4 linked regions of the Elephas maximus indicus genome follow. The protein of the gene in region 2 purifies or fractionates together with the protein of the main gene of each other region. This does not show direct contact. Links are inferred from orthologs where the notes say so. Each region holds a gene or a part of one and is shown on either strand. Other genes may lie near its edges.

Region 1 (7,876 bases), on a different chromosome or scaffold from region 2:
ATGCTGGGGGCACCCCAGATAAGAGGACAAAGTCCCCACCCTTGGGCAGCTCACAATTGAGCAAGGAGACAGCTGAAAAAGTGCAAACCAGTGAGAAACTTAAGATGCTGGTGAGCTTCAGAAACCCAATGATGAGGCTCTGAGAAGGTCACCTTCTGTGAGAAGGTGTCTTGAGGTGAGGCCCGAACTACAAGGAGTCAGTTTTCTGAAAGACTGGGGAAGGGCATTCCAGGCAGAGGGAACAGCAGGAGCAAATAACTGGGGGCACCTACCCTTTCTTCGTTGTTTCTGGAATGTACCAAACCCTTTACTGCTGAATGAGTGTGCAAAGGAATGGTGAGTTCCCCAAGTGGGAGAGACAACCTTCCTCTTTCCTTCCAACACTTACGGGGACTTGTAGCTCTGTGTGGTGTGTGTGTGGTGTGTGTGTGTGTGTGCGTGTGTGTGTGTGTGGAGGGACACAGGCCCTGGGCTCAGCCTCTTATTGCTCACCTTACCTGGGGCAAGTGACTCAAGCCATGAAATGGGGTGATGAGAGGACCTGCCCTGAAACCCAGCCACGGCCCCTGATAACTGGCAGCTGATATTTCTCCCCTCTCCCTGCATCATCCATGATTCCTTCCACACGGGATCATTCCCATCAGCTGACAACCTCACTGTTGTTACTCCCCGCTTAGAAAAAGCAAACAAAACCTTCTCTTGTTCCCTCTCCTTTCTCCAGCTAGCTGTTTATTTCCTTCCCTTTACAGCAAAGCTCCTCGAAACGCTGCCTCCATCACTCTCCCCAATCTGCCCTCTTGCTCTTTCTAGAGCCCACTTCCATCAGGCTTCTGCTCCCTCTGCCTCCCTAAAATTGCTCTTGCCATGGTCAGTCCCCAGAGACCTCCACTGTGCTCTCCAATGGCTGGTCGGTGCTTGGTTCCCATCTTCCAGCTCTACCAGCAGCACCTGACAGACCTGCCTGTCTCTCACTCCCTGACCCATGCTGCCCTTGCTCTGAGACATGTCCTCGCTGGGGCCTCCTCATATCTCCTGGCTGCTCCTCCTCATCACCCTGATCTCTTGATTGGACGGAGTACACTTCACTCTCTTCTCTGTCACACTCACCCTCTAGGTGAGCTCATCCAGGATCCTGACTGCAAATACCATCTTTATGCTGTTGACTCCCAAATTGATGCCTCTCGCCCAGCTGCTCCCCTGGTCACCTGTCCCAAAACCCAGCTGCCTCCCTGACATTCCTGGGATGTCTCAGAGGCATCTCACATGGCCAAGTGAGCTCTCAGCTTCCATCCCTGTCCCGACCTGCTCTGCCCTGGTCTTCTCTGTCAGCTAGGCTCCTCATTCTTCTAATTGCTCAGGCCAGAAAGCCAAGAGTCAGGCTTGACTTTGCTTTCTCACACCGTTGGCCAATCCAGGAGCAATTCCTGCCTGCTCTCTCATTACCTTCCTACTTCATCACTATGATGATTCCACTCTGATCCAAGCCACCATCCTATCTCGTTCTCATTATCGTGATTGACCCCTAACTGGTCTCCCCCTTCTGCCCTTAACCCATGTCCTCTATTTGCAACACAGAAGCCAAAGTCAGACCACTCTTCTCCTCTGTACAAGACCCTGCCTGGACTGTCTTCCCCAGACACCTCTGACCTAATCTTCTAGTGCTCTCTTCCCTGCTCATTCTCTCCAGTCACACTGCCCTTGAACGCACCAGCTGAGTTCCTTTTGGGCCCTTTGCACTTGCCCTTGTCTTTGCCTTGACTAGTCTTCTCCAGGTAATTACACAGTTCACCCCTCACTTTACTCACCCGTCATCTCCAGGAGCCTTTCTTGGCTCACCCTATTTTAACGGCATTCTTCTCTCCCCACAAAAAATATTTTATTTGTTTTATCATCTTTCTCCCCTCAGGCATTCTATAACATTCAAGAGGACAGAACTTTGTTTTGCTGTTTTACCTAGCAAACATGGCACACAGGAGGCGCTCCATAAATACGTATTTCTTGAATGAGTGAATTCTCTGCGCCTTTCTCCGGGATCTTTAAAATGAACACGGCGGGCATATTTTTAAATTATTTGCGCGCATAAGCGACTTCTCTGCTGGCCCAACTAGTGGGTCTCAGATGCCCCACGTGGCCCGGCACAGTGTAAAACTCCCACTGCTGTCCAGTGGATTCCGACTCATAGTAACCCTATAGGAAAGGCGCGAAGTGCCCCATAGGGTTTCCAGGGAGCGGCTGGTGGATTCGAACTGCCAACCTTTTTGGTTAACGACGGAACTCTTTACCACTGCGCCACACAGAGTAGGGTGAATGAATGCAGGGACCCTGGGGCTAACAAGTCCTCAGCTTCGGGGACACCGAGGGGCCGCGGGGTGTCACACACAGTCTAGCCCGCAAGCAAACCGCCCAGCGGAACCAACCCTCGCCCCCCGGGAGCAGAGGGCGGGGCCGCGTCCCCGGGATTCCGAGTTTGGGGGCGGGGCCGGGGCCGGCACCCTCGGACAGGGGGGAAGAGGTCAGAGCCGGGAGGACAGCGGTCCCACGCTCGTGCCAGGCCTCCGGACGGTGACGTCTGAGTCACCTCCGGGCCCTATCGCCCCGCTACGCTTGGGACGCCTGGTCCCTCCGCTGCGCCTTTAGGCCCACACCTTTGGCCTCTGGACTGGAGTCCCCCCTCCCCGAGCCGATGGTACGGCCTCCTCTCGGCCCCAGCCCGAGCGATTGGTAGGGCCCACGTGCGTGACGCACAATGGGCAGTTGGTACGAGCTGGCCGGCCGCGCACCCCGCGCCCGGTAGGGGGCGTCTGTCACTGCCCCCCGGCTGGGACCCCACTACCCTAGCGGCTCCGCCGTCCGGGAGGATACAGCATGAGCAGTCGCAGCTCCCGCTCTTTCTCCTTCATTTTCTTCAGAATGGTCAGAAGCCCCATGATCCCAGCAGCCCCCTCCCGGCCGCCGTTTCTTCCTAGTCCTGGGATCCCCGCTCCTTGCTCCTATTGGCTATCACGCCCAGCGACAGCACAGCCCATTGGCCAGCCCTTTTTGGGCCCGCCCTTGCCCCACGTGACCTCAGAGCGGCCGCGCTGTGTCTCTGCTGGGGTCCCTCTAGCGGCGGCGCGGCTTCTGCGCGGCCACCTGCCTTAACCCTTCGCGTCCCGAGGGCCGACAGTTGGGGGCGAGGGCGAGTCTATTCCGTCCTCCCAGGACCCAAAAACTCGGCCGGGAACGGAAACCTGAAGTTCATGGGTTGGATCTTGGCCAGGTAGGGAGTACCTGCAAAAAGGTGTGGCCAGCCGGGGACCCAGGAGTCAGAAGCGAGAGCCTCATGACCTGGGGCTGTCCTGGAGGCTGTGTAAGGGCCTGTTACCCGGAAACGTGGTCCAGATCCCGCTCTTTTGGGGCCTTGGTGTCATCCTAAATTTGCCAATGACGGAACAGGAATTGGGCCTCCCCCTTGCCAGGCTCCTGAATGCCGGTATTGGTCCCTAGGGACCGTTGGAAATGTGCGGGGTGGGGTGGGGTTGCGTGTTTTGGGTTGATTCAGCGACGGAGGGAAGATTCCCCCACGTTTAGACGGTGGGAAGCAGGGATAGTAGGTAGTGTCCTGCAATGCTGGGGACAGACCCTCACAAGAATTGTCCCGCCTGAGCCCATGGTTTCCCTTTGAAGAAAAACAATCTCACGTTTGCTGATGACAAAAATGAGGCCCACCAAAAACTCGCTGCTGTCCAGTCGATTCTGACTCATAACGACCTTATAGGGCGGTAGAACTGCCCCATAGGGTTTCCAAGGAGTGCCTCGTGGATTCTTGGAACTGCTGACCTTTTTTAGTTAGCAGCGGTAGCACTTAAACATTAACCACTACACAACCAGGGTTTTCTTGAGGCCCACAGTGACTGGCAAATAGTAGATGCTCAATAAATAGTTGCTGTTGAATGAGTGACTTTGTCCAACAGTTTGGTTCTTTCCCTTAGTTTAGTACCCAAGAGATCCAGAAAAACTGAGGAAACTGAGGCCAGGAAGCAAGCAGATTGTAAGCTCAGAAGGGTGAGTCTCGTGTGTTATTTTGAGCCCTTCCACAAGTTCACTATAGGGTAAGTGTGAGTAGACAGCACAAAGGAACCAAACAGTTGATGGGGAGTTAATGCTGATTCCTGGTGACCCCTTGTGTGTCAGAGTAGAACTGTGCTGTATAGGGTGTTCAATGACTGGCTTTTTGCAATAGAGTGCCAGGCCTTTTTTCTGAGGCACTTCTGGGTGGACTTGGAACTTTCAACCTTTCCATTAGGTGCTGAACATTTTAATCATTTGTACCATCCAGGGACTTCTAGCAGAGTTCTTGTTAGGTGCCCTTGAGTCGGTTCCAAGTCATAGAGACCCTATGCATAACAGAAGGATACACTGCCTGGTCCTGCACCATCCTCAGAATTTTTGTCATGCTTGAGGCCATTGTTGCAGTCACTGTGTCAGTCCATTTTGTTGAGGGTCTTTCTCTTTTTCGCTGACCCTCTACTTTACCAAACATGATGGCCTCCTCCAAGGACTGATCCCCCCGATAATATGTCTAAAGTATGTGAGACGAAGTCTCCCTGTCCTTGCTTCTAAGGAGCATTCTGGCTGTACTTCTTCCAAGACAGATTTGTTTCTTCTTTTGGCAGTCCGTAGTATAGTCAATATTTTCACCAAGCCATAACTCAAAGGCATCAATTCTTCAGTCTTCCTTGTTCATTGTCCAGCTTTCACATGCATATGAGGCGATCGAAAACACTATGGCTTAGTCTTCAAGGGAGGATCTTCGGTTTTAAATACTTTAAGGAGGTCTTTCGCAGTAGATTTGCCCGATGCAATGCGTCCTTTGATTTCTTCACTGCTGCGTCCGTGGGTGTTGATTGTGGATCCAAGTAAAATGAAATCCTTGACAACTTAATCTTTTCTCCATTTATTATGATGTTACTTATTGATCCAGTTGTGAGGATTTTTGTTTTCTTTATGTTGAGGGACAATCCATACTGAAGGGTGTGGTCTTTGATATTCATCAGTAAGTGCTTCAAATCCTCTTCACTTTCAGCAATCAAGGTTGTGTCATCTGCATAACGCAGGTTGTTAATGAGCCTTCCTCCAATCCTGATGCCGTATTCTTCTTCATATAGTCCAGCTTCTGGGGTTATTTGCTCAGCATACAGATTGAATAAGTATGGTGAAAGGATACAACCCTAACCTATACCTTTCCTGACTTTAAACCACATAATATCTCTTTGTTCTATTCCAACAACTGCCTCTTGGTCTTTGTACAGGTTCCTCATGAGCACGATTAAGTGTTCTGGAATTCCCATTCTTCATAATGTTATCCATAATTTGTTATGATCCACACAGTTGAATGCTTTTGCATAGTCAGTAAAACACAGGTAAACATCTTTCTGGTGTTCTCTACTTTCCTCCAGGTTCTATATGACATCAGCAATGATATCCCTATTTCCATGTCGTCTTCTGAATCTGGCTTGAATTTCTCGCAGTTCTCTGTCAATATACTGCTGCAACCGCTTTTGAATGATCTTCAGCAATATTTTACCTGTATGTGATATTAATGATATTGTTGGATAATTTCTGCGTTCTGTTGAATTACGTTTTTTTGGAATAGGCATAAATATGGCTCTCCTCCAGTTGGTTGGTGTCGTGAGTTGAATTGTGCCCCCCAAAAGTATCTGTCAACTTGGCTAGACCGTGATTCCCTTGTATAATTGTATGATTGTTTACCGTTTTATCATCTGATGTGATTTCCGTATGTGTTGTAAATCCTATCACTCTGATGTAATAAGACGGATTAGCAGCAGTTATATTGATGAGACCTACAAGATTAGACAGTGTCTTAAGCCAATCTCTTTTGAGTTATAGAAGAGAGAAGTAAGCAGAGAGACATGGGAACTTCATACCACCAAGAAAGCAGAGTGCGTCCTTTGGATCTGAGGTTCCTGTGCTGAGATGCTCCCAGACCAAGGGAAGACTGATGATAAGGACCTTCCTCCAGAGCCTACAGAGAGAGAAAGCCTTCCCCTGGAGCTGACGCCCTGAATTCAGACTTCTAGCCTGCTGAACTGTGAGAGGATAAACTTCTGTTTGTTAAAGCCATCCACTTGTGGTATTTCTGTTATAGGAGCACTAGATGACTAAGACAGTTGGCCAGGTAGCTGTGTTCCAAATTTCTTGGCATAAACAAGTGACTACTTTCTAACACTGCACCCCTTTGTTGAAACATCTCAGTCGGTATTCCGTCAGTTCCTGGAGCCTTGTTTTTCGCCAGTGCTTCCAGCGCAGCTTGGGCTTCTTCCTTTAGTACCATCGGTTCTTGATCATATGCTTTCTCCTGAAATGGTCAAATATCGACCAATTCTTTTCGGTACAGTGACTCTGTGTATTCCTTCCATCTTCTTTTGATGCTTCCTGCGTCAATCAGTATTTTTGTTCGTTGAATCTTTTGATATTGCAACTCGAGGCTTGAATTTTTTTTTTCAGTTCTTTTAGCTTAAGAAATGCTGAACGTGTTCTTCCTTTTTGGTTTTCTAGCTCCACATCTTTGCACGTGTCATTATAGTACTTTGTCTTTTTGAGCTGCCCTTTGAAATCTTCTGGTCAGCTCTTTTCTTTCATCATTTCTTCTATTCAGCATTCAAGAGCAAGTTTCTTCTGACATCCATTTTGGTTTTTTCTTTTCCTGTCCTTTTAATGGCCTCTTTGATGTCATTACACAACTTGTGTGGTCTTTGGTCATTAGTGTTCAATGCATCAGGTCTGTTCTTGAGATGATCTTTAAATTTAGGTGGGGTATTCTCGAGGTTCTACTTTGGCTCTTGTGGAGTTGTTGTAATTTTCTTCAACTTCAACTTGAACTTGCATGTGAGCAATTAATGGCCTGTTCCACTGTTGGCCCCTGGCCTTGTTCTGACTGATAATATTGAGCTTTTCCATTGTCTCTTTCCACAGATGTAGTCAGTTTGATTCCTGTGTTTTCCATCTGGCAAGATCCCCATGTATAGTCGCTGGTTATGTTGTTGAAAAAAGGCATTTACGATGAAAAATTTGTCGGTCTTGCAAAATTCTGTCATGTGATCTCTGGAATCATTTCTATCACCAAGGCTGTATTTTCCAACTACTGATGCTTCTTTGTTTCCAACTTGCACATTACAACCACCAGTAATTATCAATACATCCTGATTGCATGTTTGATCAATCTGAGACTGCAGAAGTTGGTAAAAAATCTTCAATTTCTTTGTCTTTGGCCTTAGTGGTTGGTGTGTAAATTTGAATAGTAGTGTTAACTTGTCTTCCTTTTAGGCATATGGATATTATCCTATCATTGACAGCGTTGTACTTCAGGATAGATCTTGAAATGTTCTTTTTGACGATGAATGCAACCTCTTTCCTATTCAACTTACCATTCCCAGCATAGTAGACCATATGACTGTCCAATTCCAAATGGCCAATACCAGTCCATTTCAGCTCACTAATACCTAGCATATCGATCTTTATACATTCCATTTCATTTTTGATGATTTCCAATTTTCCTAGATTCATGGTTCGTACACCCCATGTTCCAATTATTAATGGATGTTTGCAGCCGTTTCTTCTCATTTTGAGTCGTGCCACATCAGCAAATGAAGGTCCTGAAAGCTTGACTCCATTTACATCATTCAGGTTGACTCTACTTTGAGGCAGCAGGTCTTCCCCAGTCATCTTTTGAGTGCCTTCAAACCTGAGGGGCTCGTCTTCCAGCACTATATCAGACAATGTTCCGCTGCTATTCATAAGGTTTTCACTGGCTATTTTTTCTTTTCCAGAAGTAGACCACCAGATCGTTCTTCCTAGCCTGTCTTAGTCTAGAAGC
Region 2 (7,893 bases):
TACTGCTGGCTGCCACGGCTGGTTAGTGGGGCAAAGCCAGGCATGAAGAAGTGGAGACGTGGGAAAGGCACCATGTTGACTGCCAGCTTGCGGAGGTCAGCATTGAGCTGGCCAGGGAAGCGGAGGCAGGTGGTGACACCGCTCATGGTGGCTGAGACAAGATGGTTCAGGTCTCCATAGGTTGGCGTGGTCAGCTTGAGAGTGCGGAAGCAGATATCGTAAAGGGCCTCATTATCAATGCAATAGGTCTCGTCAGTGTTCTCTACCAACTGGTGGACAGAGAGGGTGGCATTGTAGGGCTCAACCACAGTGTCGGATACTTTGGGTGAGGGCACCACACTGAAGGTATTCATGATGCGGTCAGGATACTCTTCACGGATCTTACTGATGAGCAAGGTGCCCATCCCAGAGCCTGTGCCTCCGCCAAGTGAGTGGGTCAGTTGGAAGCCCTGCAGGCAGTCACAACTCTCAGCCTCCTTCCGCACCACATCCAAGACAGAGTCGACCAGCTCGGCCCCCTCTGTATAGTGGCCTTTGGCCCAGTTGTTGCCTGCCCCAGACTGACCTGGAATGGGGTCAAGGAATCAAGCTTGATTAGGAAGGTGTGAAGGTACATGAGCACACTTCTACCTTTCAACTTTTGGAATAACCCCCTTGGAGATATCTTTACTCCACCCTCGCCTGTGATATATCCTCCTCTAGAACCTACCAGCTAAGACAATTGTTACCTACACTTTCTATCAGAGCCTTCTGTAAGTTCTCCAGTAAAACCATCATCTTCTAACTCTCGTTTATCCCCTTATACTCAAACTAAATAAGACTACATCTACTGATCTCTTCTGTATAACTTACCAAAAACAAAGTTGTCTGGTCTGAAGATCTGACCAAAAGGACCTGAGCGAACAGAGTCCATGGTCCCAGGTTCTAAATCCACCAAGATAGCACGAGGAACATATTTGCCACCTACAGGAAAAAGAGTAAGAGCGACTGACTGGAAGGGAAAACTAATGCATTGGGTTGAGGGAGCCTGGGACCCAGACTTGTGATTCCAGGCGCTGCAAGCAGGTGGCAGCAGAGCTGGGCTTTGGCCCCAGAAGTTGGAAGAAACCAAATTGAGGAACATTTCCAAAGGGAAAGGATGATGGACTCATGCAAAAGGAACAAGGTATTCCCCAGAGATTGAAAGAAACCCCCCCCGAGAAGTGGGCGAGGAGATGGGACCCGATCCTCGCGGGCACACGCCCTCACCTGTGGCTTCATTGTAGTACACGGAGATCCGGTCCAGCTGTAGGTCGCTGTCCCCATGGTAGGTGCCGGTGGGGTCGATGCCATGTTCATCGCTGATCACCTCCCAAAACTGCCGAAGGAGAGCAATGAGCCCCTGGCTGGCTCGGGTTCCAGCCAACTATGCATCCCCTTCCATTTTATTCCAGGCGCACCATGTAGGCTCTGTTTCAAAGCCTGGCACCCCTTCTCTCCGCCTGCCACGCCCTTTCCCTAAACACCCGCATCCTCAGGAACCTCAATTTATATACTTTACTCAACTCCACTCCTTGGGACTTGAGACGATATGCTGCTGAGAGAGCCTGGCGTTCATGGGCACTGAGGCGAGTGGGTGGGGAGGCAGAGCTGACCGGATAAGCTCCCCTCCCGCCCCCCCGGGCACCGCCCCTCCATGCACAAAGGACCGGGGACCAAGAAGCGCGCCGCTGCCGCAGTCGCTCCCCCTGCTCCACGTGACTGCGGCGCGCGCACGCGCGCGTGGAGCTGACAAAGGGCGGTGTCGCGCGTGGGAGGGGCGGAGCCGAGGGCGCGAATTCCGCGCGGGGGGCGGGGCCGGGCTCGAGCGCCCCCGCCGGCGGGCAGAGCCGCATTGTCCCCGCGCGCCAGGGCCCCGCCCCCGCCGGGCCCCGCCCTGCTGCTACAACGTAGCAAGCGCACTTCCTCCCCGTCCCCTCCCCCGCTACACTGTAACCCGCGCAAAAAAAAAAAAGTAAAATCCCCCTCCCCCCCGGCTTTGGAATTTTATTCCTTCGATAGTTTTTTTTCCTTCCTGCCTTAAAGGATTCTTTTTCTTTTCCTCCAACTATCCCGAGAGGACCTTTTAGCGAGCCTATTCCCCCTTTTCTCGCGCCTTCTGTCTCCTATCTGTTCACGCCCTAAAAGGGTCTCATAAAGAGGAAATAAAAGGAAGTAAAATTGACCCTATACATTTTATCGTTCCATCCACGCAAAACTACGGAGCCGCCCCTCGGGGACCGCGGGCGCGCCGAGGTCCCTGATCTTTCGTGCAGGACGGGCAGCAGCCCACTCTGGCGCACCGCGCCCCCCACCTTTGGCTTGCCCTCTGCAGCTGCCCGCCCAGCCTCGCCCCTTCCCCCTCCAGTCTCGTCCTAACCCGAGTCACGGGGGGGTTGGGCGGGAGGCACATGGGGCCGACCTCGCCTCGCTTTGTCTCGAGCCCTTTGCTAGTCTCTTCCCTCCCCCGTCCTCGGACCGTTATAAGATCCCTCCTAAGTAAAATCTTACAGATCCTCCGTCTTCCCGCCCCCCAAACCGTCAACAGCTTACCCAAAATGAGAAAACTTACCAAATTCCCCATTTTCCAAAAGGCAATTCTAGCTACAAATGTGTCTGCGTATATACACACACTTTTTATTTTTGCAAAGCTCGATTACGGATGGAGAGCGCGAATATCCACAACCATCCTTCATAACTGATCTGAATTTTTCTTCTTGAAAGAAATATTAAGAGGTTTTAGAATCCTTACCTTGGCACCGATCTGGTTGCCACACTGACCAGCCTGGATGTGCACGATTTCCCTCATGATGAAAATTTATTTTAGTTTTTTTTTTTTTTTCTGCTCGCCTCGGTTGTGTGCGGGGCAAGAGAACGATATATAATTTTTGGCTCTGCAGATCGCAGGCTGCGGGGATGGAACGTGCCCCGGAGTCTGGAGCAGCGAGGTCCGAACGCGGCGGCAGGAAGGTTCTGAGAGGGAGAAAGAAGGAAGGGGGAGGGTGAGGGAGGGAAGGCGGCAGGGCGGGGCGCGCGTGCGCGGGGGCTGGGGGGCGGGAGATTGGGTCCCGCGCCGCGGTCGGGAGACAAAGCCTCATCAAGTCTGTCCCTGATTAGTCGATGCCTGTCATGTACCAGACACCCATTGGTCTTCGCGAGAGTGGGACGCGCGCGGTCCTCTCTGGGAGTTGTAGTCCTCTATTGTTGTCCACGCTGCAAAATGAGGTGACGAAAGGGTGGGTACTGGTTTTTTTTGGTGTTTTGTTTTTTAATGAAAAACTATGACCTTGCACAAGATCCCTTTCCTCTGTTCCTCTTTTTTTGTGTGTACAGAGGGGAGTAGTTTTGGGAGATGCAAGAATTGGGAAGTCTGGGGTGCCAGGCATTGGGAGGTGGGCTGGGCACGCCCTGAAAAGCTCCCCGCTGCCGTAGCTCTTAGGAAGATTGGGCTGCTTACCTCAGCGAAAACGGGGGAGAAGTGCGGCACCCTGCTTTGCTACTATCTTCTGGTCCTTTGATGACCTAGGCTTGAACTCCAGTAAGCCACGGTTCCTCTACATACCTCTGGAAACAGGAGGGGATTGCCCTCTTGCTATTTATTTGGGAGTTTCCGAATGATATTTCAAAAGAGAAACAAAATTGCAGCAAGGACTTTTCAGAATAGAGATGTAGTTGTCTGGAGTGTGTGTTCAAAGAATAAGTTCATTGATTAGGGAAGCTGATATCTGGGACCTGTGAAGTCAGAAGTCTTGGTCCATGTAGAGGATCTGGGCCCTGAAGCACTGTTGAAGACACCTTGGTCTTTTTGTTTAACAGGGAACTGTGGGGTTAGGTGCCTAATGCAGTTCACATTGATCTAGAGTCCCAAAATTGAAAAATAAAAAGGGAGGTAGGTGAATAGCGGTGTGAGAAAATTGGGTGGGTCAGAGTGGCATGCTCCTTCTGGAGATTCATTCATTTGATGGATACTAAGTGTCCACCAAACCAAGGAACTAGGGATACAAAAATGATTAGGAACTGGCTCCCTGACCCCAAGGACCTTGCAGTTAGATGAAACAAATAAACAAGTAATAACAATAGCGTGGTAAGCAGCATAATATAAGAGATGATAGCAAGGTCATCATTGTTAATTCACGTTCAATTTAACACACATTTCTCAGACGCTTTCTAAATAAAGGAGCATCAAGTTGTGTAAGACCCTTTCATGTCCATCTACTCACTTGAGGTGGAATTTTTTTTTTTTAAAGGATATTCTATGTTTTAGGGCATGATCACAATGAAAACAAGTTTGTGGCAGTAGAGAGAGCTCAGAACATGGAATTAAGAGAACTTGTTTCAATTTGACTCCGTCTAACATTTTTTTTTTTTACATTAGCTGTAGGAACTTACGCAAGACATTTAACTACAGAGCTTTAGTTCCCTCGTCTGTAAAATTGACTTCTGCCTATTTGATTGTTGTAGTCAAAATTAACTGAGGTAACAAATGAGAGAGGACTGCCTAAATAATAATAAAAAATAATAATAATACATAGGTCAAATTGTTACTGTTCTTTTCATGTCTTAGTTTGAGGTAATGAAATAAAATGATTTTATTATCTTCCCCCCACCCTTTGAAAGCTGCGGACAGACCTCGGTCATCCTTTAAAATACATTTAACATATACATAACAGTCCTCTCTGTTTGCCTAGGGAGATTTAGGAAAATGACCTCAAAATGTCCGTCAGGAATGTATTCCCAGGAAAAGACAGCACTTCTATAAAACAAGCCAAATAAAAAGGAAATGAAATTCCATTGTTATGAGGAGTCCTCAAGCGCCACGCCTTCGAACGGTTCTCCAAACTGCAGCCTGCAGCCACGACTGCAACCCGCGACCCATTTCTCATGAGTCAGCAGACACCATGCCTAGGAGGACGGAGGAACGGCGCTCTGGCCGCAACAGACTCATCGGGCGACGTCTATGGTACAGCCCCTCTATCCGCCGCCAGAAGATGGTGTCGCACTCTGTGGTCGCGGTTTGGAAATCTGCGCGGGAAGTGGGAGGTGGGAGGTGAAACGGTAGTAGGTTGTCCCTTCGAGCTACCCAATCGAGGTGCTCTATTCTGCGGGCGCACGGAAGCCTCCCATTACAGTCTCAACAGATCTCAGCCTCCTTGCAGCCTTTTTGAACTGCGGGGGTGGGGCGGGGGAGGGCTGAGCCTCCGCGCGGAGACTTTACCAATCAGCGTGCAGCAGAGCTGTAAAGGACAGCAACAAGAGCCAACCAGCGGACCTGTCCTCTTCCTGCACACGCACTCCCGCCTCCCGGGTCGCGGCCGTTACTGGTGGCGCGCGCGGGGACTCAAAGTAGGTGAGTTCTGGGGGCCTCCCCCACGGCTTCCCGGGGTGCCATTTTCTCCTTTCCCCGGAGGTCGGGAGGGGCGTGCCTTGGGAGCGACTGGGCGGAGACCATTCGGCATTTGCTTCGGGGATTACAGTGTTCATCCGTTCCTGACGTCCAGCTCAGACTTCTAGGTATGAAGACGCAGGGAGACGTTGGATCATAACGGAACCTACTTGGGCTGTGGATCGAAGATGTTGGTGTACTGGAGTCAAGACTCGTAGGCCAGGCCGGTCATGAGGATGGAGTTGACACTATCCAGGGGTCGTCTTACTTTCCCTACCTGACCAGTTTCCCTCTAGGGTGGCATCCTTCTAAGTGAATCCCACTCATGCTATTTTGAGTTGCTTCTTCTTTCATTTGTTCTTTTACCAGTAGGCTCAGTGATGTAACCTCCATGAAGACAGGGCTCATTTTATGTTTGGTTCACGGATATGTCCCACATACCTTGACGGCAAACTTTGCTCCATAACTACTGTTGAATATGATGGACTTTAGGGGAAAAGACAGTTCTGCTGGTCCAGCCCTGGAGGGGGCGTGTGAAGGCAGAAATGGAAAGTAATGGTTACACTATAATGAGAAGTGTTTGGATAGGCTGCGGAACATACAGGAGGAACACTGGAAAGCTGTGACATTGGAACTGAATCTTGAGGGATGATTAGGAGTTGGAGCAGGAAACTCAGAGTGAAAGGCCAGAGGCAAGCTGGGCTAAGGCATGCAGGTGTGCAGGACAAGGAGGACTGTGTTTTCAGAGATTAATTAGAAGGCCCATGTGACTGAATTATAGGCTCGTGAAATTGGGGGAGCGAGGCATTGCAGGACATGAAGTTCAGATCGTGGAGGGTCTTGCTAAGGAGTTAGATTTTATTTTATCCTGTGAACATGGGAAGCCAGCAAAGGGTACTAAATAGGAGAGACATCAGGGTGATCTTGGGCAAGTTCTTTTGTGTCACAGTTTCTTTATGTGAAAAAATGGGAGATAACAATAATACCTACCTTACAGGGCTCTTCTGTTAAATGAGTCAGCTAGTGTAATTAGAATAGTAACTGGCATAAAGCAAGCATCTTTACATGATGGTTGGTTTTATGATTCTTTGCAGTTCAGTGTGATCACATTGAGGTGATAGGATAAAGTGTAAAAAGCATGGGCGTTACAGCCAGAATTACATATATTCCTATCCTTTCTACTTACTGCTGTGTTATATTGAGCAACTTTTAAAAATATTTTTAGCATTACTTTCATAAATGCGTACCTCATATGGCTATGATGCCTGACACATAACACAATGCCCAACACATAGTTGATGTTTGGCAAAGGTTAATTCCCTTTGAAATTCTCTTTTTCAAACTATAGGTTGTGACCCAATAATGGATAGTGAAATCAACTTAGTAGGTTGCAAGTCAACGTTTAAGAGATATATGTGGTATAGAAAAAATAGATGAAAGATAATCAGCGTATTGTGCATACTAAGGTTAAGTATTGTTTCTCAAAACTTTTGTTTATGTAAGGAAGTACATATGTTCACATGTATCTGTGTTGTTAGGTGCCGTTGAGTCAGTTCCAACTCATAGCGACCCTGTGTACAACAGAACAAAACACTACCCTGGTCCTGCGCCACGCTCACAATCGTTGTTATGTTTGTGTACTAGAGGCTGTATATTTCTCTCTCTGTCATCAAAGATATTTGAAAAACGCTTCAGGAGGATAATAACAACGATTGACGGAAAGAAAATCATCAACCTCCGTAACTATCCAGTTTCACCCCCAGTTATCAGTCTCCTCTCTAATACTGTGTGTATGAGCTAATGATGGGGATGATGATAATGTGTTCCCTTCCAGATTATGGAGGATACCCAGGTTATCGACTGGGAGGCTGAAGAAGAGGAGGAAACAGAGAGATCCAGTGAATCTGTGGGGAGCAACTTGGAACCCCTAGGGCGACTGCATATCTTCAGCAGTGCCCATGGACCAGAAAAAGGTCAGAGGGTATTGGGTGCTGAAGCAGCAGTATTGTCGTTGTGTGCCATTGAGTTGATTCTTACTCATAGTGTTCCCATATGACAGAGTAGAACTGCCCCATAGGGCTTCCTAGGCTGTAATCTTATCTGAGCAGATCACCAGGTCTTTTCTCCTTCAGAGCTGCTAATAGGTTGAACCACCAACATTTTGGTTAGCAGCCAGGTGCTTAATGCTTTGCTCCACCAGGGCTCCTTAGTATCAGTATAGGCCTTTTATTTTTGTGGGGAGGTTTTGGAGGGTTATAAGAGGAGACACAAAAAAATCCTTTTTACTGGGAATAGAGAAGAGGAGACTAATTGAGTTGATTGTTTCAGTCTAGAGTCCTGGACTCTGGGGGTGGTTTTATTTTGGTGGGAGAAGATGAAGAGATTCAAATAATCCAGTGTGGCTGGTTGGGTGTTAAGTATGAATAATGCATTGCATGTACCCTTCATTGCCTAGGTGTCCTAGGGCTGTTTGTTTTTCTAATGCATGTGTG
Region 3 (7,813 bases), on a different chromosome or scaffold from region 2:
ATGCTTATTACAGTGGTTACAACGACTAGAATCTCTATTTTATACTGAAGTTTGTTAGCTATCTACACAATGAATTTCTCAAAGATTACATAAAAACAATCAGATGAGAGCAAACAGTGCCTCAGCACTAAGTTTTGGTTGCCCAAACTTTATCTTTTTACACATTGTAATCTAATCCACAGACAGCCGCCCTTTAGCTGCAACCCAGATTGCCCCTCAGTTCTCAAATTATAAGTGAATTTTAGTTCTTCATAAACTTTCTTCTTGTTATATCCACAAGGCTTCTTTTAGCAATGCAATATTTGTCAGAATAACAATTTGTTTAAACAGAAGTAGCACTATATAATGCATCTAACTCAGATAGCTTCTTTAACTCTCAACTTCCTTAAGGTTTAGGCATACAGTTCTCACATAACCTCTCACTCTTAGTCATATACTGTATTGCATTTGCAATCAGTTTCAATTGGCTGCGTAAATTTTATTCCAAGCTGAAGTATATTTTGTCAGGGCAAATAGGAATAGCATTTTCTATTCTGTTTTTATTATCCTGGAAACACCTATGGACATAGTAGGTGTTTACGAAATGCTTAGCACTTTAAATAGTAAGTGTATACAGTTATCTAAGTAGTTGAATAAAATTACAGAAAATCAATGGTATTAAATAAAATTTGCAGATAAGCTCTTCTACAACCCAAAATTCTGACACCAACCAGAGAAACCACTATGTAGAAGCTCAGCAAATGCAACTCAAAGCACAACCAGAACTTCTTTTCAGCACCATATCCAAGTACATTCTTAGTGAGCAAATTGGAATCAAGAGCTACAAATGCTCTTTCACCTCCTCGTAAAAAACATATGCTCTTATATAAATTAAATCACTAATAAATACCTCTGTTACAGGGTTGGAATGCCAAAATTTCAGCTCTGTAGCAATTATGTTTATTTTGTAAGGAAATGTACTAGAAAATCTTTCTCACATATATATGTTAATATAAATATACCTTTCGTATGTACATTACATATATTTTATATAATGAAGTTGCCACACTGCTGCACAAAAGTCAAAAGCTTTACATCTTCTACACTAATTCTCAAAACCTATCTGCTGCAAAAACGTTCCAATTTAATTGGTGACTAATTAATCACCATTTCTATTACTTAAGCCCTACTATAGTATGTTTCAGAGCCCCGGTAGCCTAGTGGCTAAGAGGTCAGCTGCTAACCAAAAGGTGCGCAGTTCAAATCCACCAGCAACTCCTTGGAAACCGTATCGGGCAGTTCTACTTTGTCCTACAGTGTCGCTATGAGTCTGAATCGACTGGATTGCAAAGGGTTTGGTTTTTTCTATGGTATTTTAGAAACTCTTCTGCCTGGAAAAGGACCTAGTTCACCCAAAACTAAGTCCCTGAACTTGCAGGATAAAATATTAAGTTACAAAAAGGTACTCAAGTAGCTAAATAAAAAAGGAATCTTTTCGTTTACAAAAGAGTAATCTTACATTATGAGGTACAAAATAAAAGAAATTAAAAAGAACGTGCTATGCTTTAAGTACAAGGAGCCTCAACAATGAGCCCATGTCTAAGAAATACTGTAGATAACAATAACTATGTCAACTACAGAATAGGGTAAAAAGGCAATTTAAAAAAAATTTTAATGTTTTACAACGACTTTATCTTTTAACTTCCGAAGGTGTCGATCAGATTTCAAAAAAGAAACTGATTTCTGTAGGGGCTGAACCAGGTTATGCTCTAAGCTACCGCCGGTATGAAATGACTTCGTTGGAATCAGTAGACCAAAGTCAGTTTACTGCGGGAGAGAAAAGAAAAATCTTATATACAACTACTAAGTCTTCTTTTTAAGTCTTCAACGAGATATAACCCAATAAATTCCAGTACAGCGACTGACAGAAGAAATACTGGCTAGTAGCAGAATTAGGTCCTCAAAAACTAAAACCGGGGTTTACCCAGTTCCGAGGTGTAAACAAACCCATCTCAACTGCAGAAGGTAAACAATGAACCTGCAGCTGGCTGAGGGGGCAGTCTTTGCCAACTACTGTCCCAGCGGCCGGGAATGCGAAGCAGGAGGGAAACACAGCTTAGACCAGACACTTAGCAGCAAAGACCAGCTCTAAGTCTCACTATCGAGTTATCAGTGCTGCGGGTCCCCCAGGGCGGTAGGCAAAGAGAAAAGTAGTCACGCAGCCATCAACAACAAGCAGGTCCGGCTTCTGCTCCTGGGGACGGGGAGGGCAGGATGTGGTCTCTCTTCCCTCAAACATCCTCTTGCAACCTAAATAACAGCCTCTATCTCCCTCCGGCCGCCCCCAGGATTCGGCTGCACCAGCTCCAGGATAGGTGTAAAACGTCCCCCGGGGGTCCAGAAAACCAAGAGGGTCGCCAGCCCCGCCGAGTCCCGTTCGGTGCTTCCCCGCAGTTCACCGAGGCCGGGAGGAAGGCTCGGGGTTCGGGAAGCCGGCACTGGGGAGGCGGACGGGTCCGGCGAGGCGGCCCCGGGCTCGGTTCCGGCGGGCCGGCAGGCGGGGCTCGGGCTCTGCCCCCGGCATTCCCGCCGGTCCAGTGCGGGGCCCGTCCCGGTCCCCGGTCCCCAGCCCCCAGCCCCGGCTCCTCCCCAGCAGCGCGTCCTCGCGGGCGCCCGCTGCGCCCCGCGTTACCTCGGGTCAGATCCAGCGGGACGTTCTCCTCGCCGCTGTCATTCCGTCCTGCGTGAAACACACAGACACACAGCCCCAATTAGGATTCGCTCGCAGGCCAGCGGCTGTAGCCGTGGCTCCGTCCGGCGCCCCAGCTCGCTCCCCCCACCCAGGGACAGGGGGAGATAAGTGCCAGGGGTGGTGGTCGCCGGGCGGTGAGGGGTGAAGGCTGCAGCGGGCTTACCTCGTATTCGGAGATTCTTCAGCGAGCGGCCGCGGCCGATCGCCGCCATATTGACGGGTCTCAGTCACAACACCGGAAACCTCGCCCAATCGCGCGAGAACCCCTTCCCCTCCCCGCGCGCCGCGCCCGCCCCCCGCGGCACCTCCTCCGTCCCCTCCTCGGCGGGAGGCTTAGCCCGGGGTGGGGAGGGAGTGCCGCGCGGGCCCAGTGTCTGTGCCGGGGTCACGTTGCCCACCCGGGAAGACGAGGACGCGGCGACGGTCTGCTTCTCCGAGAGTGCGTCTCCCGGGAGGGGGCATTTCCCACGAGGGGAATCCCATTGATGCGAGCTGGCAGCGTGGAGGATGCTTCCCCTGTAGCTTCCGTGGAAACCGTACAGTCAAAACAGGGGCGAGCTGCCTGGAGGAGGCCGGGATGCGGCGGGCGGCCACCTGCTGAAACCATCCTGCCTGATGCTCCAGTTTGCTCTCACGTCCTGGGGTAGACGAGCCCGCTTCCTTATTCTTTCATTAAAACGATTTTTATCAAAAACAACAACAAAAAAAGCCAAACGCTGCGCGTTGTTTTAACCTCACTTAAATCCATACTTAGAGTCGCCTTGCTCCAACCTAAGTTAAGATGTAACAAAGTTTGTTTTCCACCTTCCAACTGACCACCGTGCTAAGCGGCCTTGCACTCGAGCTTCAAAACCACTGTTAGCCGGGAGGGATTCTCCCAGTGGAAGTGTTTGGGTGGAGGTTTTGTTTTTTGACCGCCTGGATACTAGGAGGGAGAAGGGGATCGTCCCAGCAGTGGGATTGTTCTTGGCCGCGCGCGAGCTGGCAGGCGCGAGGAGGTGGGTTCCTACCAGGAGCAAGGAGGGGTGCTGTGACTCTTCTGTGTCGCTCTTAGAACAGTGGCTAATGTAGGTGTTGTGGGTTAATATATTTAATACATAAACCTAACAGTTATTAACAGTCAGGATTTTAATTCTATAAAACTGGCCCCTGACCGCTTAAATTACTCTTAAAACTGAATTCACTTTAAAAGAAAAGGGAAGCGTTTCTCTCTTCTCAGCTGTAAAGGCGTTTTTTCCGCCTATTCCTCAAGTGTTTGTCCTTTGTTTTCCTTGAGACTGGACGTTAATTGAAGGTGGACACCTTAACCAGCTCTTTCCCAGCTCCCAGTTGGTACAGTGCCTCGCACAGATAAGTGTTCAATAAATACCTGTTGAATGAGTAAATGCCCTGGATTCTTTCCTTGTTCCAGTGTCCTTCTTGCTTTTAAAGGCAGTGTTGGAAATTTCTGCCGTTATTTACAATAGTGAAAAATTGGAAACACTTAAAATGACCAAAGGTAGGGAATTGGTTATAGAAATTATGGCAGCCATTATCATGTAAAACTAGTAAGCATGTATTTATAGGAAATAACGTTCCTGATATTAAATCAAGGAAGAAATGACAAAGATGTTCCCATTTTTATCAATGTTTAAAATAATGTAAAGTAAAAATACATTTTATAAAGTATGATGTTATATATGTCTGTGCGTAAGAAAAGTCAAGAGCAGCTATACGCCAAATGTTACTTCATTTTCCTTCCCCCAGTTGTGGAATTACAGATGCGGTTTTTTGTTGTCATTGTTCTTGTTTATTTATCTATACTTTTTAAATGTCCTAAAATTAATATATATTACCTTTAAAATAAATAAAAGTTTTAAAGACAAAAGTAAAAGCAACATAGAGTAGTATCATCATGAAAATAAGACAGAAACACTGCTTCCTGCAGACACTAAATACGCTTCGTGTTTCTATTCCAGGTCCTTCTCTTACCAGGTCTACATTCAGTTTCCGCTGCTTATTTAAGGATGCCATATACTTAGGGAGCCCTGGTAGTGTAGTGGTTAAGTGGTACAGCTGCTAACCAAAGGGTCAGCAGTTCAAATCCACCAGCTGCTCCTTGGAAACTCAATGGGGCAGTTCTACTCTGTCTTACAGGGTCACTGTAAGTCGAAATCGACTCCACAGCAATGGGTTTGGTTTGGTTTTTTTTTTTGGTTTATACAGTTAGAGTGCTCTGAAGAAATGTTCCTGACATTGTGAGTTGTAATTTAGTAACAACTAATGTGCTCCCTCTTTTATAGCTTGGTGCAAACTATTCTGGTTAATGCCTAAGGCAAGAATCACAAAACTTAAGGTTTGGCCAGGACATTAAAAATTTTTGCACTGCATCTTCCGTGTGTCACACATTTCACCATTTTAGGAAAGTAGAGATGTATCTGGAAGGTCTACCAGATTCCTACCACTGTTCCGATTTTTTACCAACCCTTTTTATCTGATTTTTTTTTTTAATATCTAGCAGTTCTACTCTGTCCTATAGGGTCGCTGTGAGTCGGGATCGACTGGAGGACAGTGGGTTTGGGTTTTTTATTCTAAATTAACTCTATTCTAAGAGAGTTTAAATTCATTTTCAGCTTTTTATGCAAATTGAGTACAGCTGATCTACTTTTTTATTAAAGACTTCAGGTATTAAAAAAAAAAAAAAACCCATTGTCATCCAGTCAATGCCAACTCATTGTGACCCTATATTGTATACGAAAGCCTAAACCCAATAGCCTTTCATTTTTTAACTTATGTCATTTTTAAAGATAATTTTTCAATTACTCCATCTCTTCTAACAGGAAAAAAAAAATTACCTTTCTTCAGTCTTACACTGAAAGTAGTTTTTCCTCTGTTACTATCTCAGTCATTTGAGTGGCTAAATTCTCTACTATTTGCTCTTAAGGTAAAGGGCATTTTCTAGTAAAAAGAAAAAGTTCTTAGTGTTTGCAAATGACACCCAACTAGGAAACAAGAGTGTAAGGACATACCTATTTTAGTAGTAGGAAACCCTACAGGGCAGTTCTACCCAGATTCCACTCCAGGGCAACAAGTTACATTTAGAGATGTTGCTTGCTTTTGAAACAATACCACTGTGTTTTTTTTATCCTAGTGAGCTTATTTGCTTAAAACCCCTAAGTTATTTTCTGTGATACTTGCCCATAGGCATTCCTCTATTTCAAACTTTTTTCTCTTACTTGTTTATTTTAGCCCACTGTTTCTCTTACTCAAAGGAGCCCTTGTGGCACAGTGGTTAAGGTGCTCAACTGAGTCGGAATAGACTCCACTGCAATGGGTTTTTTGGTTTTTATGTCTTACTCAAGGAGCCCTGGTGGTACGGTGGTTAAAGTGCTCGGCTACTAACAGAAAAGTTGGTGGTTGGTAACTCACCAGCCTCCCTGGAGAAGAAAGATGCAGCAGTCTGCTTCCACAAAGATTTACAGCCTTGGAAACCCTATGGGGCAGTTCTACTCTATTCTATAGGGTCACTATGGGTTGGAATGACGGCAACTGGTATGGTTTTGGTGTATGTCTTACTCATTTGTTTACTTCATACTACTTCTCCAATTTCCCTGGTCATGTTGATTCTAATCTGGTCATTGAGAATGTTACTTCCTCTTCTTAGTTTTCATTTCCCAACTAGGTTTCGTTTGCAGAGTCAATGAATGTGTTTTCTCATAGTATAAGTCATTGACAAAAAAAAAAAAAGTCATATGAGACTGAGTCTAGGACCACAGCTCTAAAAGATAACTGCTTGATTTCCAAGATACAATGACTCCATTGAAAATCACTTTCTGGGTTCTATTCACTATTCTGTTGGGCACAGTTAATAATTCAAGTTTAAAAAACCGTATATCAATTTCGGATGCAGTCATAACGTTGAACAAAAACAAAAGCCTTGCCAAAATCTTAGTTCCCTTTAATTTATCTGCCTTGTTGCATAGGACATATGAAGACAAAGCAAGTCGAAAACCACAAAATTTGGTCAGTCTATTTCTTGGTAACTTCTTTTCATAGTTAAACCACATGTTTAAGGTTAAGGCCATTAAATTGACAGGCAGTGGACTAAATCAAACAAATGTTATAATCCCTCACAGGGTTGATATGAATGTTCAGCCTTGGTCACAGAAGCAAGTAGCCTCCTAGTATATTTCCTTTAAATTTTAATTTTTGTCCCCAAATCTCATTTTTTTCATGTCGTAAAATTCTGTAAGGTATAAAGGCCCTCTATAAAAACAGTTTTGAATGAAGAATAAGTTTAAATTTGTGGAAGAGGAAAATACATATATATCTACAAAATAAAATCTGGAAGAATAGGAATTAAAAGTTTAATAGTGATTATTAATAGAATTTTGATTTTTTTCTTTCTTATTTTAATTGTTCTAAAATAAATTTGTATCACTTGTGCATATCTTTTTTAGGAAAACTATTCTAGAGAAATTGTGTTGGGAGCCCTGCTGGGACAGTGGTTAAGAGCTCAGCTGCTAACCAAAAAAAGGTTGGCAGTTTGAATCTACCAAGCACTCCTTAGAAACCTATGGGGCAGTTCTACTCTCTCCTATAGGGTTACGATCAGTCAGAATAGACTCGACAGCAGTGGGCTTGATTTGTTTTTTTATTCTAAATCGCAGTTATAAACATTTGACTATAATAATAACTTGTTAAGCAGTGAATCTATCAAATTTGTGTGTCATTAAAAAAAAAAACTGAGCATGCACCCAAACATAGAACATAAAGAGGAAATAAAAAATGGTTAAGATTGTACTTGTCTTGGTTGTTTAGTGCTACTATAACAGAAATACCACAAGTAGATGGCTTTAACAAAAAGAAACTTATTTTCTTACAGCCTAGGAGGCTAGAAGTCCAAATTCAGGGTACCATCTCCAGGGGATGACCTTCTCTCTCTGACAGCTCTGGAGGAAGGTCCTTGTCATCAATCTTCCCCTGGTCTAGGAGCTTCTCAGTGCAGGAACCTCAGGTCCAAAGGACGTGCTCTGTTCCCAGCATTGCTTTCTTGGTGGTATGAGGTCCCCTGCCCCTCTGTTTACTTCTCTATTTTATATC
Region 4 (7,014 bases), on a different chromosome or scaffold from region 2:
AATGGTGAATAAGCACTAGCTGGGAGAAGAGGAGACAGAAAGGAATCTCTGGAGAAAGGATCAGCCAGAGTAAAGACCTGAGGCGAGAGGGTACCTGGCATGTTTGAGGAACAGCAAGGGGACCAATACAGGTGAAGTGAAGTGAATGAGGGACAGGATGGTGGCTGATGAAGTTACAAAGATGATGTGGGGCCAGTCATGTGGAACCTTAGAGGCCAGGATGAAGAATTTGGACTTTACCTTGAGGGCAACGGTCCACCTTTGAAGAATTTTTTTTTAAGCTGTTGTGTGGAAAACAGATTGTAGGGATGAGGGCAAAAGCAGCGGAACCAGTGAGGAGGCCTCTGCAATAGTCTAGGTGTATTCAGTATCTGATCTCTCCACACCACCTCTACTGACTGTGGCAGCAGTAGAGGTGGTGTGGAGAGATCAGATACTGAATATGTATATTTTGAACATAGAGCCAATAAGGATTTACTGATGGATTACAACAAGGGTGAAAGTAGAGTCTGTGGGAAGTGTAATTCTTCATTTTCACCATAAATGTCCTTGCCCCAGTGAAGCCATCCAGGAACCCTGAATGCTAGCTTAGGGTCCTCTATTAAATACCCTTCAATCCCCTGGTCTTAAGTCCTCCTTCATTAAACAATTCATACTGCCATTGGCTGTTTAATGATCAGCTCTCCTACTCTCCTTTCAGCTCTCTGAGAGAGGACCTTGTCTATCTTGTCCACATTTGTATCACCAACTCCTAGCATACTACTACCAGTTACCAGTTGCCATTGAGTCAATTCCAATTCATGGCAATTTCATGTGTGTCAAAGCAGAACTATGCTTCATAGGGTTTTCAATGGCTGATTTTTTGAAGTAGATCACCAGGCCTTTCTTCCAGGGCACCTCTGGGTAGACTCAAACCTCCAACCTGTAGTTAACAGCTGAACTTAACTGTTTACATCACCCAAGGATTCCTCCTGGCACACAACTGTTTACATCACCCAAGGATTCCTCCTGGCACACAGTAGGTGCTAAAAGGAACCCTTTTAACTCTAAGCCCCACCTCCCCAAATCATCTGCTTCCAGTTTCCAGGCTGCCCTAAGAAAGAATTCCTTCTTGCTAATGTGTTTTTGGGGACTGCTTAGAGGACTCAGCCTCACCTGTCATCCCAGAGGCAGTGGAATTCATTTAGCTGCTCTTCGAACACCAAGCCTGTGCCAGACAGTGCCTTGGGCTCCAGGTTCAGATCCTGCAGGGAAAAAATGGGAGACACAGATCCAATTAGAGCCTGAGTCAGAGGGAACATTCCATACTGTCCAGGATGGGAAACCTCAGGGTCTTGGGTTGCCATTGGAGGCTAAATCCAGGCCAGGCCCCTCTCACCAGCTCTTGCAGCCCCATGATTAGGTCTTGCTCTGCTGCTTGGCTGAGCTTCTTCATTCTGCCTTTCTTCTTTACCTCTGCTAGACTAGGGCTGGAGCGGGGTACAGCACCCTTTTTAACACCACGCTTCTGTCAAGCAGAAAGAAGGGTCAGAGTCCAGGGGACAATCCACGGCTCTCCCTCCCCGGGGCCGGTCTGGGGCCTCACCGAGATGACGCTGGAGTTATGGGAGGGTGAGTGGGGGTTGTGTCTACTCCTTCGCTGTCTGTTTGTGGTGGAATCTTGGCCGGTGGAGGTCATGGTAGGAGAGACTGAGCCCCTGACACGGTCCTGGGGGAGTAGACGTGACTGTCTGTAAGGGACGGTGTGCCCAGAGGACCCAATATCCTTCCCCTTGCCGGCCCGCCTCCTATACTATTCTCCATCCCTTATGCTAGCCTATTCCCCACTGCCTTCTAAAACTCCACTTCTCCCAAGACCCTCTCCCTCCACTGGGGTGTCCCTTTCACCTTTCCACTAAATTCTACCCCTTTTACACAATTCTCTTTTCCTCTTTCAAATACTTGCCCTTTCACTGAGCCATTAATTCCCGACTCAGTCCTTTCTAGGGCCTGCCCTTCCCAGCTAATCCCCGCCCTTCCACTCTACCTAGCCCCCCATTCCCAGACCCTTTCATTCTTCTAAGCCTCGTCCTGGTTGTGGAACTCTGATGGTGTAGCGGTTAAGAGCTCGGCTGCTAACCAAAAGGTCAGCAGTTTCAATCCACCAGCCGCTCCTTTGAAGCACTATGGGGCAGTTCTATCCTGCCCTACAGGATCGCTATGATTCGGAATCGGCTCGACAGTACCTAACAACAAGCCTCACCCAGACCCCACCCCTTCACAAATCTTCCTTTTACGGCGATCTCCAGGGAAAATCGCCCACGCTTTCACTCAGCCAAACCCAGCCACTGCCCCATCCCAAGCTTAACGATTCACCTACCCTCGCCCCTAACGTTTCAATAAGTCCCGCCCCTGAGAGGACTACTTTCCTTCCTCCAGACCCTATCCCCTGCCCTAGGCCCTACACTTAACGCCACACCAACCCCCTCTAGCCAGTCCTGAGCCGCCTCCCGCTAGCTTCCGCCCCCTTCTCGCTCCCCACATTGACGCAGACCAACCGCTTCGGTTCCACTCACTGGGCGCGGCCCCCTCTCAAACCCCGCCCATTGCTCTCGCTAGCAAATTCTGGCGACTTGTGGGACGGCGGGTTCCCAGGCTCCTCCTTTCCATTGGGGCGGTTCTCTCTGCCTGCTGAGATCCCGCCCACACCAGCTTCCTCAGTGCCCCCCAAGACCACGCCCATCGCGCTGGCCACACCTTCCGCAAGCTCACAAAACCGGCGCGGAGGCAGGAGAAACTGTCTATGCTGCGCCTGCGTGAAGTAGCACTAGCGGTTCAATACAAGGCTAAGGCTGTCCCGTCCCCCGGCTACTGCTTGCCTGCCTTGGCCACCAACCCTCTGCCCCTGCCCAGTCACCTCAGGAACCCTCTGGATCCGCGACGATTGTGCCTTGCAAAGATTCAAGAGAGCGCAGGGAAGGGAGGGAGTTAGGCAACGGCGTTTTCCCACTTTCCCGCTGCTTCCGGCGCGGCGCTCCGTGATGACGTAGCTTGGGCGGGCTGGCTGCTGGGCCCGAAGTGGGGCCCAGAGTGGGGTTGAAACTGAAGGACGGTTTGGTAGCGGCCAAAGTGCGAATGATGATGATCATAAATACTGTGGGGATTCTATGAGTTGATATTCACTAAGGTCGCACACATTAAGCACACACCAAATGTTAAAAAAGCTATTAAAATTCTGGGAAAATGGGTGGTGGCGCAGGGGGAGGCGTAGTGGGACAAGTAATTGTAAGGCTAAAAGCAAAAAACCAAACGCGTTGCTGTCTAGTCGATTCAGACTTAGCGACCCTATACGACAATAGAACTGCCCTATAGGGTCTCCGAGTTCGATTCAAACTACCCACCTTTTGGTTAGCAGCCAAGTTGTTTAACCACTGCACCACCGGGTTTCCAATTGTAACGCTAGCAAGTACTGTACACCAGGCATTGTTAGCCACAACTCTATGAGGTACTTCCCATTATTAATGCTGCTTTGCAGATAAGGAAACTGAGGTTACATGACTTGGCCATGTGACCTTGGGCAAGTTACTGAACATCTCTGTGCTTCAGTTTCCTCATATGGAAAATTGTGATAATAATATTGCCCGAGGCTAGAATGGAGTCGGAGTTTTTCATGGTTGGCTGGTCTCCCTATCTGCCTCCCTCCACCGGGTAAACTGCACTCAAGCTGTAATACAAAGCCTGTGTGCCTAGAGAGTAGGGGGAGTTGTTCCTATGGCCCGCTCTCCCTCCCACCCCTGTCTAAATATCAGCTCTGCAGGAGGTCGGTTTGTCCTCCTAATCTCCCTCTCATTCTCCACCATTTCCTACCGGGCTGCAGGCTGGGGCCAGAGAGATAAGCGGTCTGGGGTTCAGCAGCGCTGACTAACAAATAGATTGACAGCCCCACCGCCCAGTAGGTGGGCCTTCTGACCCTCTTGAAGACCCCCCCCCCACTTCCAGCCTCTTCATGCCTTTCATTCTTTTCCATCTGAACATGCCTTTTGTACCAGTGGAAGAGAGTCATAGACTTAAGACCTTTAAACCTCAAAGAAAATACACATACAATGATACACACTGGGAAACATTCTGGGGTTGTTATGCTTGCAAAATAAAAGTGTAGGGAGTCTGGAATGGGTCAAGGCCCAATTTTTTGTAGTCAGGAGAGAGGTTCCTATAGAGCAGAGGTTGGCAAACTCTAGTAAAGGCCAGATTTTAGGCTTTTGAAGACCACATAAGGTCTCTATGGCATATTTTTATTTTTTTTAACAACCCTTTGAAAGGGTAAAAACAGGCTACAAGCTGGCCTTGCCTGCAATCTATAGTTTGCCAATCCCTGCTTAGAGTATCAGTCCTTGGTTTTCCTTACCTGGCTGGGATTCTTCTATAGGATGAGGGCAGGGGTTCCCTGTGGCCTGAAGAGAGGTATTCCTTTTCTGTTAGGTTTGAGGACAGGGGTTCATTTACAAGGCCAGGTCACTTCTGGTGTTCCTCTACTGGGTCAAGCAAACCTTCCTGGACAGGGAAGGCCCAGAGGTTCCTATAGTTTTAGTAGTGGTGTTCCTCTCCTGGATCAAGCAGGAGATTCTATGCAATATGAGACAGACATTCCTAGGGAGCTCTAGACTAGGGGTTCCTGTACAAGTTCAGGATGGGGCTTCTTAGACTGCATTATGACAGGTTTCTACAAAGAGATCAGGGGGTCCAGTACAGGGTTAGAAGAGGTGTTTCTGTACAGGTTCAGAGCTTGTGTTCATATAGACAGTAAGATTAGGTGTTCATGTCCAGATTCAGGTCAAGAAATTGCTATTAATTTGGATAAATTATGCTAGCTACTGTAACAAACCCAAAATCTCAGAGGCCTTAACAAATAAATGTTTATTTCTTGCTCACACAAAATCCAATCTGCATATTTACTACAGGTCCTTCATGGGCCAAGGAAACTTCCATTTAGTGGCTTTATTTTCCTTTACCTCCTCGGAGTTCTTGCTATTCAGCTGGTAAATGGAGCAAGAGAGAGAGTGGAGGATTACCGGAGAGGATTTTATGGGCCAGGCCTGGAAGTGGTGCGTAACACTTCTGCTTACACTCTCTTGGCCAGAACTCTATCATATGTCCACATCTAACTGCAAGGGAGGTTGGAAAAGATAGAATGAGCTCAGGGATAATGAACAGGTTTTGATGAGCCCATAGCAGTGTCTGCTACAGAATTCTATAGACTCCATAGAGCTATGCTGTCCAGTGTTAGCCACTAGCTACATGTGGCTACTGAGCACTTGAAATGTGCCTAGTCCAAATTGAGATGTGCTGTAAATGTAAACTACACACTGGATTTTGAAAACTTAGTATGAAAAAAATTTTAAATATCTTATTTTTCTGTATTGATTACATGTTGAAATGTTAATGTTTGGATGTATTTAAAGTAAATATATAATTAAATTTCATTTCACCTTTTCTTTTTACTTTTTTAACGTGGCTACATGAAAATTTTAAATTACACATGTGACTTGCATTATATTTCTGTTGGACAGAGTGTTGCTGTAGAGAATTCTCTTTAAAGTATTGGGACAGGGATTCTTTTTTTTCAATTGTACTTTAGATGAAGGTTTACAGAACAAACTAGCTTCTCATTAAACAGTTAGTACGCATATTGTTTTGGGACATTGGTTACCAACCCCACTACATGTCAACACTCTTCCTTCTTGACCTTGGGTTCCCTATTACCAGCTTGCCTGTTCCCTCCTGCCTTCCAGTCCTTTACCCTTGGCTGGTGTGCCCCTTTAGTCTCGTTTTGCTTTATGGGCTGGAACAGAGATTCTTGTACTATGTAGGGGTAGGGGTTTCTGTACAGGATCAAGTTAGTGTTTCCTGTCTGGGGTCAGGAAAATAACTCTGTTACATGGTAATGCAGGTTTGTAGGAAAATATGGGGTTGGAGACATCATAAAGTGAGAGAGAAGGGTGTAAAAGCAGTTTTGCCTATACAGGTTAAGGTTAGGTTGTCATTTAGAGGCCAGGAGAGTGGTTTTCTGTAGACAGTTAGGCCAGATGATCACAACATACTCAGGACAGGTATTTCTGTACGGGATCAGAGCTAGGTTCCTAGAGGGTTAGGTCGGGGATTCTTGTACAGCTTCAGGACAGGTGTTCACGGTGATTCGGATAACAAGTTGTTTAACAAGGTCTGAACAGAGGTTCCTATACAGGGTAGGTGTTTTTGTGCTGCTTTATTTCTTAGATTCCTGTCTTAGTTATGTGCTATGACAGAAATACCACACGTGGATGGCTTTAACAAACAGAAATTTATTCTCTCGTATTCTAGTAGGCTAGAAGTCCGAATTCAGGGCGCCGGCTCCTGGGGAAGGCTTTCTCTCTCTGTTGGTTCTGAGGGAAGGTCCTTGTCATCAATCTTCCCCTTGTCTGGGAGCTTCTCAGAGCAGGGACCCTGGGTCCAAATGACACGCTCCGCTCCTGGCGCTTCTTTCTTGGTGACATGATGTCCCTCTCCTCTCTGCTGCTTCTCTTTTTTATATCTCAAGAGATTGACTCAAGATACAACCTAATCCTGCAGAGTGAGGTCTCCCTCATTAACATAACTGCCATTAATCCCACCTCATTAACAGCCTAGAAGTAGGATTTACAACGCATAAGAAAATCACATCAGATGACAAAATGGTGGACAACAGGGGTTCATATACAAGGCGAGGGCTGGTATTTCTGTCCAGGATCAGGGTAGGCTTCCTGTTGATAATTAAACAAAACAAAAAACAGTTGCTGTTGAGTCAACTCTGACTCATGGCAATCCCATGTGTGTCAGAGTAGAACTGTGCTTGATAGGATTTTCAATGGCTGGTTTTTCAGAAGTAGATCTCCAGGCCTTTCTTCGGAGGTGCCTTTGGGTGAACGTGAGCATATTAACCATTTGCATCACCTAAGGTTCTTTTGACATTTCAGAGCTGGGTTCCTATAGCAGGCTAGGACAGCTGTCCTTATACAGGGT

Evidence for each region.
Region 1: the proteins of TUBB (region 2) and ARL2 purify together in Homo sapiens (co-immunoprecipitation; 3 studies listed by BioGRID and IntAct, counting the BioPlex papers as one, with this or other methods). This does not show direct contact. The link is inferred for Elephas maximus indicus from reciprocal best matches to the Homo sapiens genes TUBB and ARL2.
Region 3: the proteins of TUBB (region 2) and RICTOR purify together in Homo sapiens (affinity purification with mass spectrometry; 3 studies listed by BioGRID and IntAct, with this or other methods). This does not show direct contact. The link is inferred for Elephas maximus indicus from reciprocal best matches to the Homo sapiens genes TUBB and RICTOR.
Region 4: the proteins of TUBB (region 2) and HDAC6 purify together in Homo sapiens (affinity purification with mass spectrometry; 4 studies listed by BioGRID, with this or other methods). This does not show direct contact. The link is inferred for Elephas maximus indicus from reciprocal best matches to the Homo sapiens genes TUBB and HDAC6.

Annotation. Positions count from the first base shown.
Region 1 is NC_064825.1:128,183,969-128,191,844, reverse strand, and holds the start of ARL2 (ADP-ribosylation factor-like protein 2), read right to left. Parts: upstream 3,018-7,876; 5' UTR 2,928-3,017; coding exon 2,863-2,927; intron 1-2,862. Other genes in the region: BATF2 (basic leucine zipper transcriptional factor ATF-like 2), read left to right, coding at 3,240-3,259, 3,972-4,044. UniProt on the Homo sapiens protein: Small GTP-binding protein which cycles between an inactive GDP-bound and an active GTP-bound form, and the rate of cycling is regulated by guanine nucleotide exchange factors (GEF) and GTPase-activating proteins (GAP).
Region 2 is NC_064819.1:91,028,892-91,036,784, reverse strand, and holds the start of TUBB (tubulin beta chain), read right to left. Parts: upstream 3,009-7,893; 5' UTR 2,828-3,008; coding exon 2,771-2,827; intron 1,358-2,770; coding exon 1,249-1,357; intron 964-1,248; coding exon 853-963; intron 566-852; coding exon 1-565. UniProt on the Homo sapiens protein: Tubulin is the major constituent of microtubules, a cylinder consisting of laterally associated linear protofilaments composed of alpha- and beta-tubulin heterodimers.
Region 3 is NC_064820.1:44,835,975-44,843,787, forward strand, and holds the start of RICTOR (rapamycin-insensitive companion of mTOR), read right to left. Parts: upstream 3,004-7,813; 5' UTR 2,944-3,003; coding exon 2,895-2,943; intron 2,720-2,894; coding exon 2,672-2,719; intron 1-2,671. UniProt on the Homo sapiens protein: Component of the mechanistic target of rapamycin complex 2 (mTORC2), which transduces signals from growth factors to pathways involved in proliferation, cytoskeletal organization, lipogenesis and anabolic output.
Region 4 is NC_064846.1:122,834,879-122,841,892, forward strand, and holds the start of HDAC6 (histone deacetylase 6), read right to left. Parts: upstream 3,007-7,014; 5' UTR 2,897-3,006; intron 2,633-2,896; exon of another isoform or gene 2,538-2,632; intron 2,463-2,537; exon of another isoform or gene 2,360-2,462; intron 2,308-2,359; exon of another isoform or gene 2,243-2,307; intron 2,191-2,242; exon of another isoform or gene 2,047-2,190; intron 1,709-2,046; 5' UTR 1,679-1,708; coding exon 1,586-1,678; intron 1,508-1,585; coding exon 1,379-1,507; intron 1,245-1,378; coding exon 1,156-1,244; intron 1-1,155.